Linked DNA regions of Schizosaccharomyces pombe. Changing the gene in region 1 together with any one later gene gives a genetic interaction. Each region holds a gene or a part of one and is shown on either strand. Other genes may lie near its edges. The genes, in order: prr1, mak2 and ecl3.

Region 1 (5,586 bases):
GCGCCCATTTGAGACATGGACGTTGCTACTGAACTAGCTTTGGCAAGGGAATCGTTTGAAATTTGAGAAAATGACTTTGCCATGGAAGCATTGGAGTCAAGATGGGTGGTAAAGCTTCCTGGATTTGGATGCTGAATCGGTTGAAATTTTTCGTACATCGGATATGAGCCATGGGCGTGTGGATTCAAAGAATGGTCATTAGATGATAAAGGGGTATTTAGAGAGGCGGCAGAGGCCATGGAGTCTGCCGGCTTTTCCTGATTTGCCAGTTCATAATCAGATGAAGGAGTATTATACAAAGAAGGTTGTGCTGTGCCAAGATTGGTGTCAACAGTCATCTTTGAAGAAGCGGTAGTAGCAGCGGAAGCCTGTTGAATTTGATTTGGTATCTGTTGTGGAGAAGTAGTTGCAACTTGGCCCTTCGCTAACGCTTGGTATGCATTTAATAACTCCTGGAGAGGATGAGAGGGAACAAACATGGCTCCGGGATTAGCTTGCCGTTGAGTAGATCCCTCTAAATCGCAGAGGTAAGATATGATGCTACTCATAAGCAAATCTCTAGACTCAATCCCCCGCTTGAGTTCAAACATTTTAAGAAGTATCGTTTGGTAACTTGTGGCAAGACCCGAAAGATTTCTATCAAGTAATTTTTGAAAGTCTAATATAGAATCCACCTGCTGTTTTAGGTTTTCAATAACTGGAGCAGTGTTCTCGTTAGCTAAATTGCGCTTGGACGGAGCCTTTCGCTTAATATTGTCGAGCAGGTCCTTATGATGAAGCTGAAAGTCGTCATGACGAAACTCCCAAGCCTAAAGAAGAGAATGATTAGTATAATAGAAATTCTAAAAGGAGGGATGGCTTTTTTACAAGTATGATGGAATGAAGACAAGTTTGTTTCTCAAACCTATTCAACAAGTATGAAGCCCCTAAATCCTTAACCCATATGACATACCCCTTCACCATATATACTCGGCGCGCCTTCTTCGTGCCGTACTTTGTGAAAATCATATCTAGACGATTAGCAAGTGTAAAAAAAAAATAAATAAATAAAAATATCTCATACTTGTTGAGTTGTCGGACAAAACTTGCAAAGTTACTATGTTTGAAGTGGCGAGGCAGAATGGTCTTTGTAAACTCGTTGGTCTAAAAAGCAGTAAGTTAGTGATAAACTCAGGGAAACAAAGGGGAAAGGGGAAAAAGGAATTTTGAATGCGGAAAAGTAGATTAGAGTGACAAAGAAAGGAGAAAAATGCAAACGTAAGAGAAAAAAAAACATAAGACTAGAAGAATAGCTAGTCAAAAGCCAAAGTTTAAAAAGAAGGTAAGGCCTAAAAATAAAATTGGTCTCTAAGAGATGTAAAAACTATTACTCAAAAAAGATGATGACAAGGAATAAGTCTGTTCGAAAAAATCGAGATGCAATGCGAAAAAAAAGGACAAAGTACTAGGGTATGGAAACAAAGCAAATTCGACGACTCAGGTTTACGGGCAAACTGGACGTTTTTCAGCGTAACATTGGTAATACTAAAAAGAAAACAACGAATAGAATTGTTTTATTTCAAAAAGAAAAGCGATTTTTGTAATAAAACAACCCGATTGTTGCGATAGGAATCTCTTGCTGCCTCAAAAGATTCCTTTCCCATCATTGTCAATCCTTTTTAATTCAAGTTGTAATCAGAAAGAAAAAGGAAACAAATCAAGAATAGTAAAAAAATTATTTTTTAGCAAACCTTCAAAAAAAATCTCCCCTCTTTTACTAGCTTTTCGAGGATAAACAATAAAAGTAGAATGCTTTCTCTGGTTAAATAACAACAATGGCGGCGATAAATATAATGATAACTCATTCTTCCTTTCTTCTCTCTTTTACATCCAGCAAACAAATTTTCAAGGATTTCTTACATCCAACACAATAAAAGAATCCCCAGAATCGCTCCAGCGCAGGATATGCCTATATTCGGGTTCTTCCAACATGTTGAAGAGTTTTCGCACCTAATTCAACAACGTTAGTATGAGAAAACATAGTTTTATCACGAAACGTGAAATTTTATAATTATAAAAAATTCATCGGAAAAAGGAACCAACATACAAAGTCGGAGGATCCGTTCGAAGACGGCATCTTCTCGTTTAATATATGACCAAACGGTCGTATTTACAAAAAATCTTCACCTTTTCAACAATGTTGTTGGTTGTTGGAGAGTTGCAAATTTTGAGGTGTGGTGGATATGACACCCTCGAGGCTTCCATGTGGCTATTTGCCGATGCTCACAAGGGCGTGTTAGCTTACGCAACGTTGGTTAAACGATGAACGGCAGGAGATCGGCAATGCAAATTCGACATATTTTTTAACGTTAATTGCAGCAAAAACTTCTCAATTAATGAACCCTCAAAAACAATGCGAAACCCGCATATTACTGTCTTTTTCACTACCCTCCAGAAAAGGGATCTTTCGTACTGATCTCTCTCCTTTACGGTGCTTGATTTGACTTGATGATGCTGTTCACCGATTGCGAAACGTTGCAAAGTTAAATCTAGTATAGTGCATACCATCGTACTGCATTATCCCAAACTCTTCCTGAACCGGCTAAAGCGCGCGGGGCTCCCTAGGCAGTCATCATCGCAGACGTAACGACCGTCCCACATACGTTTGTGCAAGCGTGCTGTGGGCACAGCAAGAATAAACACATGGGATGGATGACACAGTAATAAGGCTGAGTTGCTGCGGTTCTTGGTAGTGTATCGATGGTGCATGCGTGGAGTATGTAGAGCAAAAGGATCACTATGCGATATTTCCTTGGTATAAACGCTGACACGGGATTTTTTAAAAAGCATTTTTTTTTCGATCGTTTACGTTTCCTTTATTTTTTTTATTGGAATCCACTGTGCAATATGCTCGTTGAACCATTCAGAAAAGAGATGCTCTTTATGCATTCAACACAATTGACCTTGCTATAAGAATATCCAGCAGACGCTCTTACTTTGAATGCTCAAGTGTGTGTGCTGCGGTCTACCTTTGTGTACAGTAGTTTCAACGTTAAAGGACAAGTGATTAGCTATGGGAGCTTATCGCATATTATAAAAATGCATTGGAATTTGGGAATACACACCCAACTTTGTGTACCCACTACACCTTGCAGTGGATGATGATTTTTTTGTCAACATCGTGTGATGCCGGACCAGACAAAACTTTTGACGCATACAGATCGACCAGCAAAAGCGGAAATTGCCTGTTAAAAAGCACCGAATGACAAAGTTTGAATAAACGACGCCAGGACATTGATGGACGAGTCCCTTTTTCTATGAAAAGGAAAGCGAAATAAACCGATTCCTCACTTGCTGATTGTACTCAATTAAACGAGGCTTTTACATTATCAACAAAGGGAAACAAAATAAGAATTGAGAAAGAAAAAGAAGTCCCCTGATTCATTAGAAATGACCCCTGATCCCTTGGCTCGGTTTTCGAACAAGAGAATAGATACATGTTATGCTTATTTGAAATGCTTCATAAGATTATATAAACGAAATAAATATTCTCATAGAATCCCATTATAAAGTATTCATCCTTAGAATACGTAGTTATTGGATTAGAAGACAATGTATTGATTCGTTAAATATCTTTTGCATCAAAAAATTTCTCCGCTCGTAAAATTATAAAAAAGATGGCGAGCGATACGATAAGTGCAGAGATAAGGGTATGACGCTATTAGTGCTGACTCAGCTCCGCGGTTTATTATTACACTGGCAATAGCAATAGCAATAGCAATAGCATTACATCCATGACAGATTTAACATAGCAAGGATAAGGGGTGCCCTAAAAGTAATTTAGATATTGCATCGTTTTTCGTTAATGCAAATAGTAAAATATAATTAATTTACATTAAAGAAATAACAGCAACATCTTTTTTACTTTAAAAGTAATAACAAAACTGCACTTCCATTTTTAAAAGCAATAAGAAATGTTTGCGAAATCCCCTATTCATGGGATGAACGCGTCGACTAGTCCAGTCAATAAGTCAAACGACACACACTTGCAATATCTTTTAGCAAACATGATCTGTTGCACATTCCTAGCATTTGTCTTGAATTTCCCATCTGGGTAGGAAGACTTGGCTTCAAGATTTTTTTCCATTTCACAAGGCGTAACTAATGAAGTAGAAAAAAGGCATTTTCAAACGCGTATCCATCCCATCCATCCTCTCTAAAACTTGCATTTTTAAAAGTTTCTCAATTGTGTATTCACACTATAGCAATAGCAAATGGGGGAAGCTTTTTCCATTTATTATGCTTAAACTAGTAGCACAAGTTTTCATTTTATTAACCCATACTGAAAAGCGCGCTCTCTTCATCTAGTAAATACGTGCCCTTCACAACCTTCCATTAATTTAATCCAAGGGCTCGCTTGAACCCTTCCCATTGGTCTACTTTGTCGACCGATTTCGTTAACTGAGATTAATGTGCTTTAATTATACACTGTTATTTGCACATTCGGAACTGAATACGCCAAGTGCCGTTCGATTCGCTATCGTACCTACATCTTGTGCTCACTTATTGCACGGTACCTCGTTTAAGCGATTCGAGGCATTTAGGCTCACTTCTGCTGCATATTGGCCAATATCTTCGCCTTTTCAGCTTTAAAGTGTAACTATTTTCTCATCCAATCAGTTATCTGATCGCTATCTGATTTTTACCCCGATTGGTCGATTGTGCATCTAGGAGTTTTCATTTGTCAAAGGTCAATGTGGAAAAATCTAATCTGATAAAATTTTTTCATCTTTAAGATTACCCACGCTTATACAATAACCGCGTTCTCTCACATTACTCTCTACCCTGATACTGGCTGACATCTCAACCCAAATATTCGGTTGAGTTAGTTTCTTTCTTCCCCCTTCAGTCTTTCCCCTATCCGTAGACCGTCGACTTGTTAATCCTTTTCAGTTTGAAATTTCCTAGCAGATTCGTATCACTAGTTCAATTCTGAAGCCTGTTTGGGTTTTTATATGAATAAGACCCTCATACTGAGTAACAAGCCGTTTTCTTTCTAGACTATACAAGTATACCTTTGCTTACACGTCTCCCCTACTTTTGTTTATTTTGTCTAGGCCTGTTGCGTGGAAATTCTACATATTTCTTCTTAATTATTCGTAAATACAAACTCTTGTTTTTTTTCTATCTCCCCCTTATCGGTGTGTGTAAAAAAAAAAATCAGCTAGCTGTCGACGCAGCTGAGTTTTCATATACCTTTTCTTTTCTTTTTTTATTTTTTTTTATTTTTTCAAGTCAAAGCAAATATAGTCAAGGATATTCAGAGGTATAGGACACAAGGCACTTTGCTCTTTGTCATTGCTTTCTATTTTGTCAAATCAACAGCCAAGTCATCATTCAAACTTCATTTGGCTGCAAACCTTAAAATTCATTCTTGGTGTCTTCATACATTGAGTTTTGTTTTTTTTAAACCATTTCTCATTCCTTTTTCGTCAATATATCCTAACTAATCTTCTGGGGTCATTGCGTCTGGTTTCTTGTGTGTGTTTTTTTACAGAACATAAACTAACGCTTATTTTTTATTGGAAATCCCATCATTTATTAAAA
Region 2 (5,586 bases), 360 kb from region 1:
TACCAGTGATTAATTCTTTAGCAATCTGGGCATGCATTGATTCGGCCCTTCTTAAACTGATTTTTGATAGTATGCCCTCACGAAAAAATGTTTCAGAAAATTGACAACTTTCGTTATCATTATCAAATTGTAAAACATTGAGAGGAAAATCCAATATCTCTTCTTTTGGGATAAACAAATGCATTGATGTGGTAATTAATCGAAGCAATTCAAACGGAAACGGCTCGACCAACAATGCAGCCCATAAAAGAAACTCAATACATCTGGCAGGGAGTAAAGCATCCAACAATGATGCCAGTAATGGTGGTATATCATAAGAAGAAAGAGCTTCAAAGCTTCGGTTGATAACAGGCAGATCATAAGTCCAAGAAGAGGATTTTGGATGAAAGGCAAAGCCATTATTAGCAAAGGCAATGAGTAGAAGACTTTTTAGCACCAACGGATTTCCCTTACTAAGCTTTTGCATCAATAGCACTAACGGACCCAAAGCTTGAGTTGGAGACTCTAAAGTGCTATCTAAAAATTCAGTTATATTTTTACGATCAAAAAGGTTCATTCTAATATCAGTGACCATCGCATATGGGGCCTCATGAAGACATTTCGAAAAATCTTTAAACATCACAGGTTCATCCCAAGCCAAAATTAGTAAGATAGGAAGTCTATGAGAAATCATGCCAATTATCAAAGAGAGCGAAGGATGATCAGCCAAATGTAATTCATCCAATATTATAATGACAGGTCGAACTCTGGAAGTGAAGCTTAGTATTTCTAGAAGACAAACCATAAATCCTAAACGACCGCTTGCACTGCGGAATTGTTGGGGATCTCTCTTTTTTAACTTGAAATAGTTTTCTCTTTTGCAATGTAGATTATATTTCGGAGATAGTAGCGAGTTTAATTCTGGAACATATTCAAATAGTTCTCCCATGTAAATCAATTGAAATCCAAGAAATTCCCACAGCGATGTAAAGTAATCAGTAACTAGCTGTTTTTCTTCACGAAGAGTCTGTTGCATAATTAAAGAGACACATTTAAAAATGGCAGAATATGGAGAAAAATGATGACCTTTAAAAGAGCTCATTGCAAAATATCCAAATTTTCTTGCTTCATCGGCGACAGCATTAAGCAAATTACTTTTTCCAGAGCCCTTCTCACCGGTAACTGTAACAACTTGGCAATATGTAGCCTCATTATCTACTGGACGATATTTGAAAAGGTGTTGCTTTGGAAGTTTATCAACACGCTTAGCACTCGTTAGAAGATCGCGTTTTGAAGAAAAAGCTACAAGCTCGTGGAAGATCCGGACGTAATCTGAAGAATTGGTCAATAGTAATTTAGGAAACTTAAGCTTTTCTTGCTGTGGTTTATTTATAGATAACAATTTTTGGTCCAGCAAAGGAGAAGAGGTGATTGTAGAAAATTCTTGCATTAACTCAACAATCGTATAACACAAATCGGTAGCAGAAGAAATTCTTGAGTTCATAGACTTGGCAGTCATTTTTTGAATCAATTGATCAAGCGCTGGAAAGGCATCAGGACGACGAGGCAATACAGAAGGAAACTGTCTCATATGAATCGATTGAACAATTCTCATAGATTGCCCACCCCAGGGATATTGCTTGGTCAAGATAACATAAAAAAGAATACCCAAAGAATAGATATCGGACCTGGAATCTAACGGTCGCCCCACATTTCCAATTTGTTCAGGACTAAAAAACTGAAGTTTGTGACATATATTCTGGACTTGATAAAGACGCTTCCAGTTTAAGGAAGACAAGGTAAATCTGATAGGGGATACGCTACTCCCGATGGTAAGCAACTTTGCATGAATAGGGGCATTCAAATCATAATGGAAAGTGTCAAGACGAATTTCGCCATGCACGATTTTTTTTTCATGTAAAAAACATAAGACGTAAGAAACGCCAAGGGCAAACTTGAGAAATAATTTTAGATCCAAAGGGTTAGGATTCCCTAACCACTCATCCAGAATGTTAGGCCCAGGATCATCGTAAATAAGCGCACCTAAGGTTTCGTTCAACAGTAATATATATGCGGGAGCAATAGCATAATTTCTTCCATTTGGATGAGATGACAACTGACGCAACAAAAAGTATTCATTCTCTAGCTTGAAAGTTTGTTGGGAAAACTTAAAAATTACTTTTCGCCTTGTTTCTACATGGACGGCACGCACCAAGCACGCAGAAAGAAGAGAAGAAGGGTTCGATTGCGTACGAATTGGTTGGAACTGGAACTCTCCCAACTGAGAAATTGCATAATCAATTGCAACGTCCAATGACTTGTACAAGCTCATTGAGAATTTGAACTAAAAAAAATAAAAATAAAATCAATAATTATCCTTAATACGACATGTTAAACTGTAAATAATTAATATTTAGAATATAGTATAAAATGAGAAGTTGAAGGGGTGGATTTATTGTTAACTTTAGAATTTGCCGTCACCAATTAGCATGACAGAGGGTATCCTTATACCATTTAACAAAAAATGTGGTATGCTTCTTATTGATTTTAAAATGTAAGCTACGCAGTTTGGTATCTGATTTAAGGATACGTAGAACTGCGGTGAGTTTTCCTTGTGATCTATTATATTACGATACACAGGTTGTATAAGTAGCAACTGAGTATAGGTATTGTATTAACTGGGTTATAATGTTACCTATCACTAATATAGCTCATAACTGAACTGAGGAACGAGGTTCAGCAGTAGCTCTATTTATAGTATTCAGATAATATTGATCTTAATAGATTATCATTAAGATCAATCTCCATATCGTATCATACATGGTACGATATATAATTAGAACATGTGACATATAGTGATACTCAACGTAGTGTATTATAGCGTAGTGTAGTATTGCTGACATTGCCCTCCCCAAGATTTTCTATGTAAATCTGAGGATAAGTCATATGTTCTCAGATATTTAGATTATTGTTTTTAATATAATCATTGACAATTGCTTTGTCCGCTTGTAGCGCTGTAGCTAATGTAGTCCATCCTGACATAATAGTACTCGGATTTAGATTCGAAATGTACTTGACATTTAAGTAGAGTACTTGTTCTCTGTTTTTATGTTCTAGGATATGAAGAATTGTTCCAATATCAGACTCATCAATGGTAGCGTAATTGAGTTCTGAATTATGTCGATACTTTTCTAGGTGAGAAACATGAAAAGTAGATGAAAACATGTGCTTGATTGAATCTGGAAGATCCAATTCATAGTTGTTTGGACCCGACTTCTGTAACACATAGAACGGTCCTGCAAAACTAGGTGCTAATTTATTGGATTTATGAAGAAAACCTGTTTTCGTTCTTTTGACCATAACTAGGTCTCCAGGTTGAAATTCTTCAATTTCTTGTATTTTCATATCGAAATACTTTTTCATCTTTATGTTGTTTGTATTCAAGTGTTCTTTAACTGTTTGAAATACTTGGATCGTTTCCTGAGAGTTTTCGTCAGTTTTGTCACTAAAGCTAGGTAACTCTAAAGGTGATAAAGCTGGTGAATAGCGATGTACTATCTCAAAAGGTGTCATTTGAGTTGCTGAATGTATCGCATTGTTGTAAGATTGTTGCACTAGGGATATATGATCTACCCATGTATTTGGATGTGTGCTACATACACATCTTAGTAATTTCTCCACAGTTTGGTTTGTACGCTCAGTTTGTCCATCAGTTTGTGGTCTGTATGGTAACGAAAATTTCATAACGAAATTATATTTATGTGCGAAATCTTTCCACGTTTGGGAAGTAAAAATATGATCATTATCTGCAATGATTTCTTTTGGATTGCCGAAATAAGCAATAACTCGTTGATCAAACATTCGAGCTGTTTGCTCTGCTGTAATGGATTTCGTACAAGGTACTAAGATTGCCATTTTTGAAAATCGGTCAACTACCACGAAAAGTGCATTATAACCAGATGATTCTGGTAAAGCTGTAATAAAATCCATTGATAAAGATTCCCAAGGTCTTTCTGATGGGGGAATTGGTTGTAAAGGTCCATAAGGTTTATGATTCCTAGATTTGTTTATTTGACATGTATGGCAGTTCTGTACATATTCTTGTATTTGTTTTCTTATTCCTTTCCACGTAAATCTACGTAATATAATGTTTGTAAGAAGTTCAATGCCTGGATGAATCAATTTACCTTCTTCATGATACTTTTTAATAATTGTCCTAGTCAGCTGAGTATCATTAGGTAATAAGATTTGGTCTTTACTGTTAATTAGTAAGCCATCTTTGAGTTGGATATTCTCTTCCACTCGTTTGTCTTCATTGTTTAGTAAATTCAACAATTTTGTATCATTCGTATATTCTGTAACCACTTGGTTTTTAAAATCATCGGTTATCGAGATTTGATTAACAAAGTTGATACTATTGTCTTCTGAATCTTTTGGAATTGGTTCTGTTTCGTCAACAATTCTGGATAAGGCATCAGCTATGTGATTTGCTGATCCAGGTCTGTAGTTAATTTCAAAGTTGAAGTCTTGTAAAAATAATTGCCAACGAGCTAAACGTTTGTTTTCAGGCTCGGATTCGTTAGTAATGCGACCAATTAAGTTTCGATGGTCTGTTAAAATTTTGAAAGGTTCGATAGTGGATTCTAAATAGTGTCTCCAATGTTTGAGAGACTTAATGATTGCAAGCATTTCTTTGTCCGATACGCTATAATTTAATTGTGCTTTAGACATCTTTGCTGAATAGTATCCAACAGGATAGTATTTATCATCATCATGTTTTTGAGACAATACGGCTCCTACAGCGACATCTGAAGCATCAGTTTCCAGTAGAATCTTTTTACTGAAATCAAAGTGTCGTAGCACCGGAGGAGAAACTAAACATTGTTTAATGTTTTCTATCGCTTGGGTTTGTGTTGGTGTCCATTTCCAGCGTACATCCTTTTTCAAAAGATTATTGAGTGGATGTGTTAATTGTGATGTCTTTGGAATGAATTTCCTAAGATAATTGACAGAACCTAGAAATTGTCGTAATTCTTTACGATTCTTAGGTTGCTTCCATTGTAAGACTTTGTCTATATTTTCTTGACAAGGCGTAAATCCTTTTTCCGAAATGTGATACCCTATAAATTTTACTTGTGATTGGTGAAATTCACATTTTGCTTGATTGATAATTAAGTTCGCATTTTTCAATTTCTGTAGAACGTCTTTAACATGTTTTACATGTTCAGATTCCGATTTTGAATGAATTAAAATATCATCCATATAACATACTACATGTGATTCTTTGGCTTCACCAAGTATTGTATTGATAAAGTATTGAAAATGTGCTGGAGCTGTAGATATGCCATAAGGCATTACTAGATATTCAAAAACTCCACGAGGACAGCGAAAAGCAAGTTTATGTTCATCTCCTTTTCTTACTCGTATCAAGTGATAGGCACTTTTGAGGTCAAGTTTAGTAAAAATTGTAGAACCTTGTATTTTAGCAAGTAATTGTTCAATAAGTGGTAACGGATATATATTGGGTTTGACATACTTATTTAAAGGTTTGTAGTCAACCACCATTCTCAAGGTGCCTTCCTTTTTCGGAACGAACATTACTGGACA
Region 3 (4,974 bases), on another chromosome or scaffold:
ATATCAGGCATCATTATTTCAAGCGTTTTCATTGTTTCCTGTATTAATATTATAATATAATATATCCACACCAAGACTTTGCAATGGAGACTGTGAATTGATGTCAATTTCCTTGAGTGTCTACTCACGGACTGTATTCTATGGTTTCCTATTCTCCTTGGTATTGTTATCTGAGTTGTGATACTTAAACACGGGGAATTTTTGATAATCATATGCCATGACGATGATCTTTCTTCTGAACATAAAGTTATCCAGGCCGAGTACCACTCTTGTCAAATTTTGCGGAGACCTAGAGTTCGTTGGTAGATCTCTCGGCAGCTAGAAATACTAAGAAAGATATTCGCTACCACACTTTAGAATATGAACTACGCTGTTTCCAACGGTTGACTGATTCATTTACAACTTCAGTATGGAGGTTTGCGCATCGTTACGGTATTTCCATCTTTTCGTCGTTAATTATTATGCTGTAAATTTTGGTTGGTTGTTTTTCCTTGAATATTCATTGATTATAAACAGTATTTCGTTGTTTATTTCCTAATTTTCCAGTTATGGATGAGCTAGCAGGATACTAAACAAATGGGATACTAAATCTCCATCCTGTGGCAATATTAAGTTTATTTTTGAAATTTTTTATGATGTTCATGTACTATTAAACTCGCCAAGGTCTTAACTCATGTAGACATCAATGATATGGTAATTCTGCATTTGTGATTCTTTATATTATTTACAAATTTATTATAATTATTGAATTCGTAGCATTTACACTTCTTGAGAAAAATCTTAAGCACATTCCAATCTTTATTTTTTTTTTACTGTTCTTATTCTAATAAATTTGCCGAAGCTAATTTACAGAAAAAATCCAAATCAGTGACATCTACACGTCCCACTTTTTGTACACATTTTTAAAAGTTTAGTATATAAAAAATCTTTAATAAATCTTTACTAGTTGTATGGTGCATAGAAAACGAGAAGCGAAATTAATTATTATTTAATTCAAATAACTCTGATTCAGTAAAATAAGATGTATAAAGAAAAGATGAAATGACAAATTAATATTAGTTAAACAAAAATAGTTCATTAAATTTTTAACTAAATGACAAGATGTAAATAAATAAATAAATAAATAAATAAAAAATGCAGCCACAAATAACGAAAAATAAAGAAAATTAGGCACACTATAATAAAACAAAAAAGATCGTTCTAGCATTGGTGTTAATTGCTAGTCATTATTGCCGAATGTATGCAAATGAAAGGAAATTGACGTTAGTCCTATTAATATAAAGAAAATGCTTTTTAATAAAAAAAAAAGCTTTAAATGTATAAATGAATATCAATAATGTTATCGTAAACAAATGATTCTGTAAATGTATTTTTTTAAGATAGACTCAAGGGTAGAGTGACAAGCTCCGTAATATATTTAAATGGATATCCCTTAATATCATTATGAAACATTCTAAAGTGATGCTAAATGAGCTCAGGATTGAAGAAAAAAAAATTAAAGTAGACCCTCTTTTTTTTTTAATTTCAAAAGAAAATTAAAGATAAATAATGCAATTAGTGAGGGTGATAAAAGAAAAGAAAAAAAATCCGAGGAAACGCGAAAGAACTGTAGGTAAGTAACTAAGAAAGAGAATGTAAAAAACAAATGAAGCCGAAAATGAAAAAATGATTAGGGAAATCCAAACTATACCAAATTTTATTTGATACTAACTTCCAATAGCCTCAAAACCGATAATTTATGTAGCTCGATCAAATAGAAGAGAAATGCTTCAAAGAGTAGAAAAAACATTAAAGGTAAAAAATTTTCTAATTCTCAACACTATAATTCTTCAATTCGGTATAATATATCCCAGAATAAATTGAGGAATTCGACGAAGAGCACATTGAAGATCGTCTGCTGAAAAGATCAAAGTAATTCAAAGCAAGGTAGTCTATTGTCTCGTTGAGAGAAGGCGACTTCAAGGGATCAGAAAACAGCTCTGTCGTAGCTTTATCCTGAATTCGACATTCATTTGAGCAATACAATCCTTCGGCATCGATGGAGTTACCACATAGCAAACATAAGTTTAAATCCATTTTTTCTTTAAAATAGCTAACTTTGAAAGATAACGAAAAGACGAACGTCAAAATCCGTTGGTTTGCTTGAAAATAGAAAAAAAAATTGAGAAGGAAGATTGAATTATAAAAAGAGCTTTTGCAATTGTCCTTCTTTTTCTCTATTCTAGTGAAAGAATGAGAGGAGAAACGAAGACTTTATCGTAGATAAATGAAAGAGAAGAATTCTCTAGAGTCCTGGCGTATCTCAAACGCACTCCTCCATATATATATAAGAAAGACAAGAATTACGAAGGACGATGTAAAACCATAAACAGGGATTGCAGATTACCGTGAAAGGATGTGTATCAACGTATCATTCTCGACTGTGAATCTAGGGAAATGTTGAGAGAATAAAAAAAAATAACAAATCAAAATTGCCGAGTCTTAGGAATGTCATAATTTATTTTCTCTCAAAAGGTTTATTGTGCGACATGGAGCCGGCATCTAATTTACAGTCACTTATACGATGTCAAGTCACAACAAGCAACTATGGTAGCAAGAGAGTAGTTACTTCACATTCCCATGAGAATAGAACAGTCCAAAATCCTTCTCACACATTCCTTTTCGCTTACACGAATTTCAATTTTTATTATTTATATTTTTTTTATCTTCGAACGATGTGAGTAAAATGCGTGTGAATTCGGCAATATACGACGCTGGAAATAAATTAGTAAACTGCCCTTGACTGATCACGATAGTTATATGGAAGAAATTGTTTCGACTATCCTAACTTAATTCCTATTATTTTCAGAAAAGGGTTTAATTTTTCCAATCTTCCAGTTCAGTTTGCATACCGAACGGTACACAATCTTACCCTGTCAAAAACCCCCTTTTTCAATTTAAAAAAATGACGTCACACACTGCATCAATAGCTATATAAGAAGCCTGAGTACCTAACTATTCAAATTTTTAATTTTAATTTAAACGCATTGGTAGTATGAAATAGAACGAAATAAGTCATAGAGGATGAGATAGAATTAATTCATAACAAATTAAACTATGAAAATCGTTAGAAATTGAAATTTATTAATATCGACATCTGTCCTTATAATAATTAATTAGTTTCCACGGTCTTTTCTTGAAAATTATTCTGCGTTTTGTCGAACTAGAATAATGCACGAAAGATTAACTCATCGTTGCTTTTAATTAGATAGCAAGAATGTAAAACAATGGAATTTGCTACTCGACACGAAAATTCAAAAATTTTCGAATACTATCAAATCATCTTATATCCATTACACTTGTTGAAGGGTGGCGGGCGGTAAAATCCTCGTATCCGTTCATCTTTTTGCTTCGGCAGTATATGCTGCCTAATAAATTTTAGCGTTCGGTAAACTGAGGTTCCTAAAATAAACTACGGTTTACGTGCATGAATGGAACATACTTGGAACCGAAATTGCTGAAGTGGCTGTTTTGTGCGGATGCCGGTTGTCAGGTCAATTCCGTGCAGAACATTCTGCTCGGTACCTGGTAGTTGTTAATTTCAAAGACCGACAATAGGAGAGGTGAGGGGAATTTTGTAGGATGGCGGCATTTCCGTTCGCCGAGTTTAATGGAAGTGGAAGCATGCATGCTTTGTTGATGTCTATTTTGTCAAAGAAATCTTATCACCCAACATCCTATCGGGTTGGAGGATATCGGAACCAACTTATCCGGGTGTTCTGTGTGTGGGCATGCATTGAGCTACACAGCATCAATCCGTGGTATTCTGGAATGTATACTTTTGAAACCGGCCGATTACTGGTTTTAAAACAACGACATCGCGTGCTTTCCATGGAATTGAAAAAACCAAACAGCTCGACGATTAAACCGTGTTTTACTTGGGCCAATTCTGTATTGTATAATGACATACTGATTTTTATTTTCGCAAATTTCATTTTGAATGCATACCGTATTGAGTTCTCTGCAGTATGAGTTTGTCTCTTAACTACAATTTTGTCTCAATTAGTAATGTCAACGTTATTAACTTAAGATTTCCGAGTGGGTCTAACGAGGGTATTACCACTTTTGCAACTTTTTTATGAACTGATACCCCTTTAGTATAATTGTCTGTTTTTGCAGTTGTCCGCTAGTGCTAATTCTTTTACTTTAAAGTGCAAATCTTAAACCAAATTGACCCATTACTTTCCCTCAGTTTTCTAACACCGCGTTACCTTAATCCTGAAATAGAAAATTTTAATTGTTAATATTTTTTTACTATTTTTTTATATTTCCTTATTGGATTCATATCAGTTACAAAGCAAATTGGACGGTTTACTTATAAACATAGTGTTTTGCATTTCCGATTTCTTCCTGTTTTGCTATTTTGTTTTGAAATAAGATTAAGCAGGTGGTGAATGTGCCGGTTGCCAGGGAACGTCAACACCAAAGCTTTTGATCTTAATTATTAATTTTTTTTCTATAACAAAGCCACCAATCTGACAAACTGGTAGTTTACTATATATATTGCTCCATTGCATACTGAATTATCTGTGTGTGTAAACCACCGGTACTCAGTTTTCTTAATTCTAATTGCAACCGCATTCGGACTTCATTAATTTGCATAAAGCAGCGATTAAGACTTACTTTATCATTCATTGCTTTCCTTTTCTCTCATATTTTGAACGCAAGGAAATCACAAGATGGCATTTGGGAGCAAAATTTTAAACATTGGATCTAAGTCTGATGAGTATAACGACGATGCAGTACCTCTCGACCAAGTCGAAGAGGGTGCGCAAGAGCGTCGCTATTACTTGGGGTTGACAAAGCGCGAATTTAAACTTATGATGCTTGCAGGTGTCGGGTTTTTCCTTGACAGTTACGATCTTTTTATCATCAATTTAGTTACTCCCATTTTTGAATATCTTTATTGGGGTGGTATTGAAAAAGGTCCCACAG

Evidence for each region.
Region 2: mutations in prr1 (region 1) and mak2 impair growth when combined (synthetic growth defect), as found in Schizosaccharomyces pombe (one study listed by BioGRID).
Region 3: of prr1 (region 1) and ecl3, changing one suppresses a phenotype caused by changing the other (phenotypic suppression), as found in Schizosaccharomyces pombe (one study listed by BioGRID).

Annotation. Positions count from the first base shown.
Region 1 is NC_003424.3:3,662,537-3,668,122, reverse strand, and holds the start of prr1 (stress-responsive DNA-binding transcription factor Prr1), read right to left. Parts: upstream 2,192-5,586; 5' UTR 2,117-2,191; coding exon 2,087-2,116; intron 1,990-2,086; coding exon 1,900-1,989; intron 1,144-1,899; coding exon 1,064-1,143; intron 1,011-1,063; coding exon 953-1,010; intron 810-952; coding exon 1-809. UniProt on the Schizosaccharomyces pombe protein: Involved in oxidative stress. Transcription factor that acts upon trr1 and ctt1.
Region 2 is NC_003424.3:4,023,839-4,029,424, reverse strand, and holds the start of mak2 (phosphorelay sensor kinase Mak2), read right to left. Parts: upstream 2,407-5,586; 5' UTR 2,312-2,406; coding exon 1-2,311. Other genes in the region: Tf2-6 (retrotransposable element/transposon Tf2-type), read right to left, coding at 2,932-5,586. UniProt on the Schizosaccharomyces pombe protein: Involved in the control of the SAPK-dependent transcriptional response to peroxide stress. Regulates sty1 activity.
Region 3 is NC_003423.3:4,439,534-4,444,507, forward strand, and holds ecl3 (protein Ecl3), read right to left. Parts: upstream 2,295-4,974; 5' UTR 2,077-2,294; coding exon 1,807-2,076; downstream 1-1,806. Other genes in the region: pho84 (inorganic phosphate transporter), read left to right, coding at 4,719-4,974.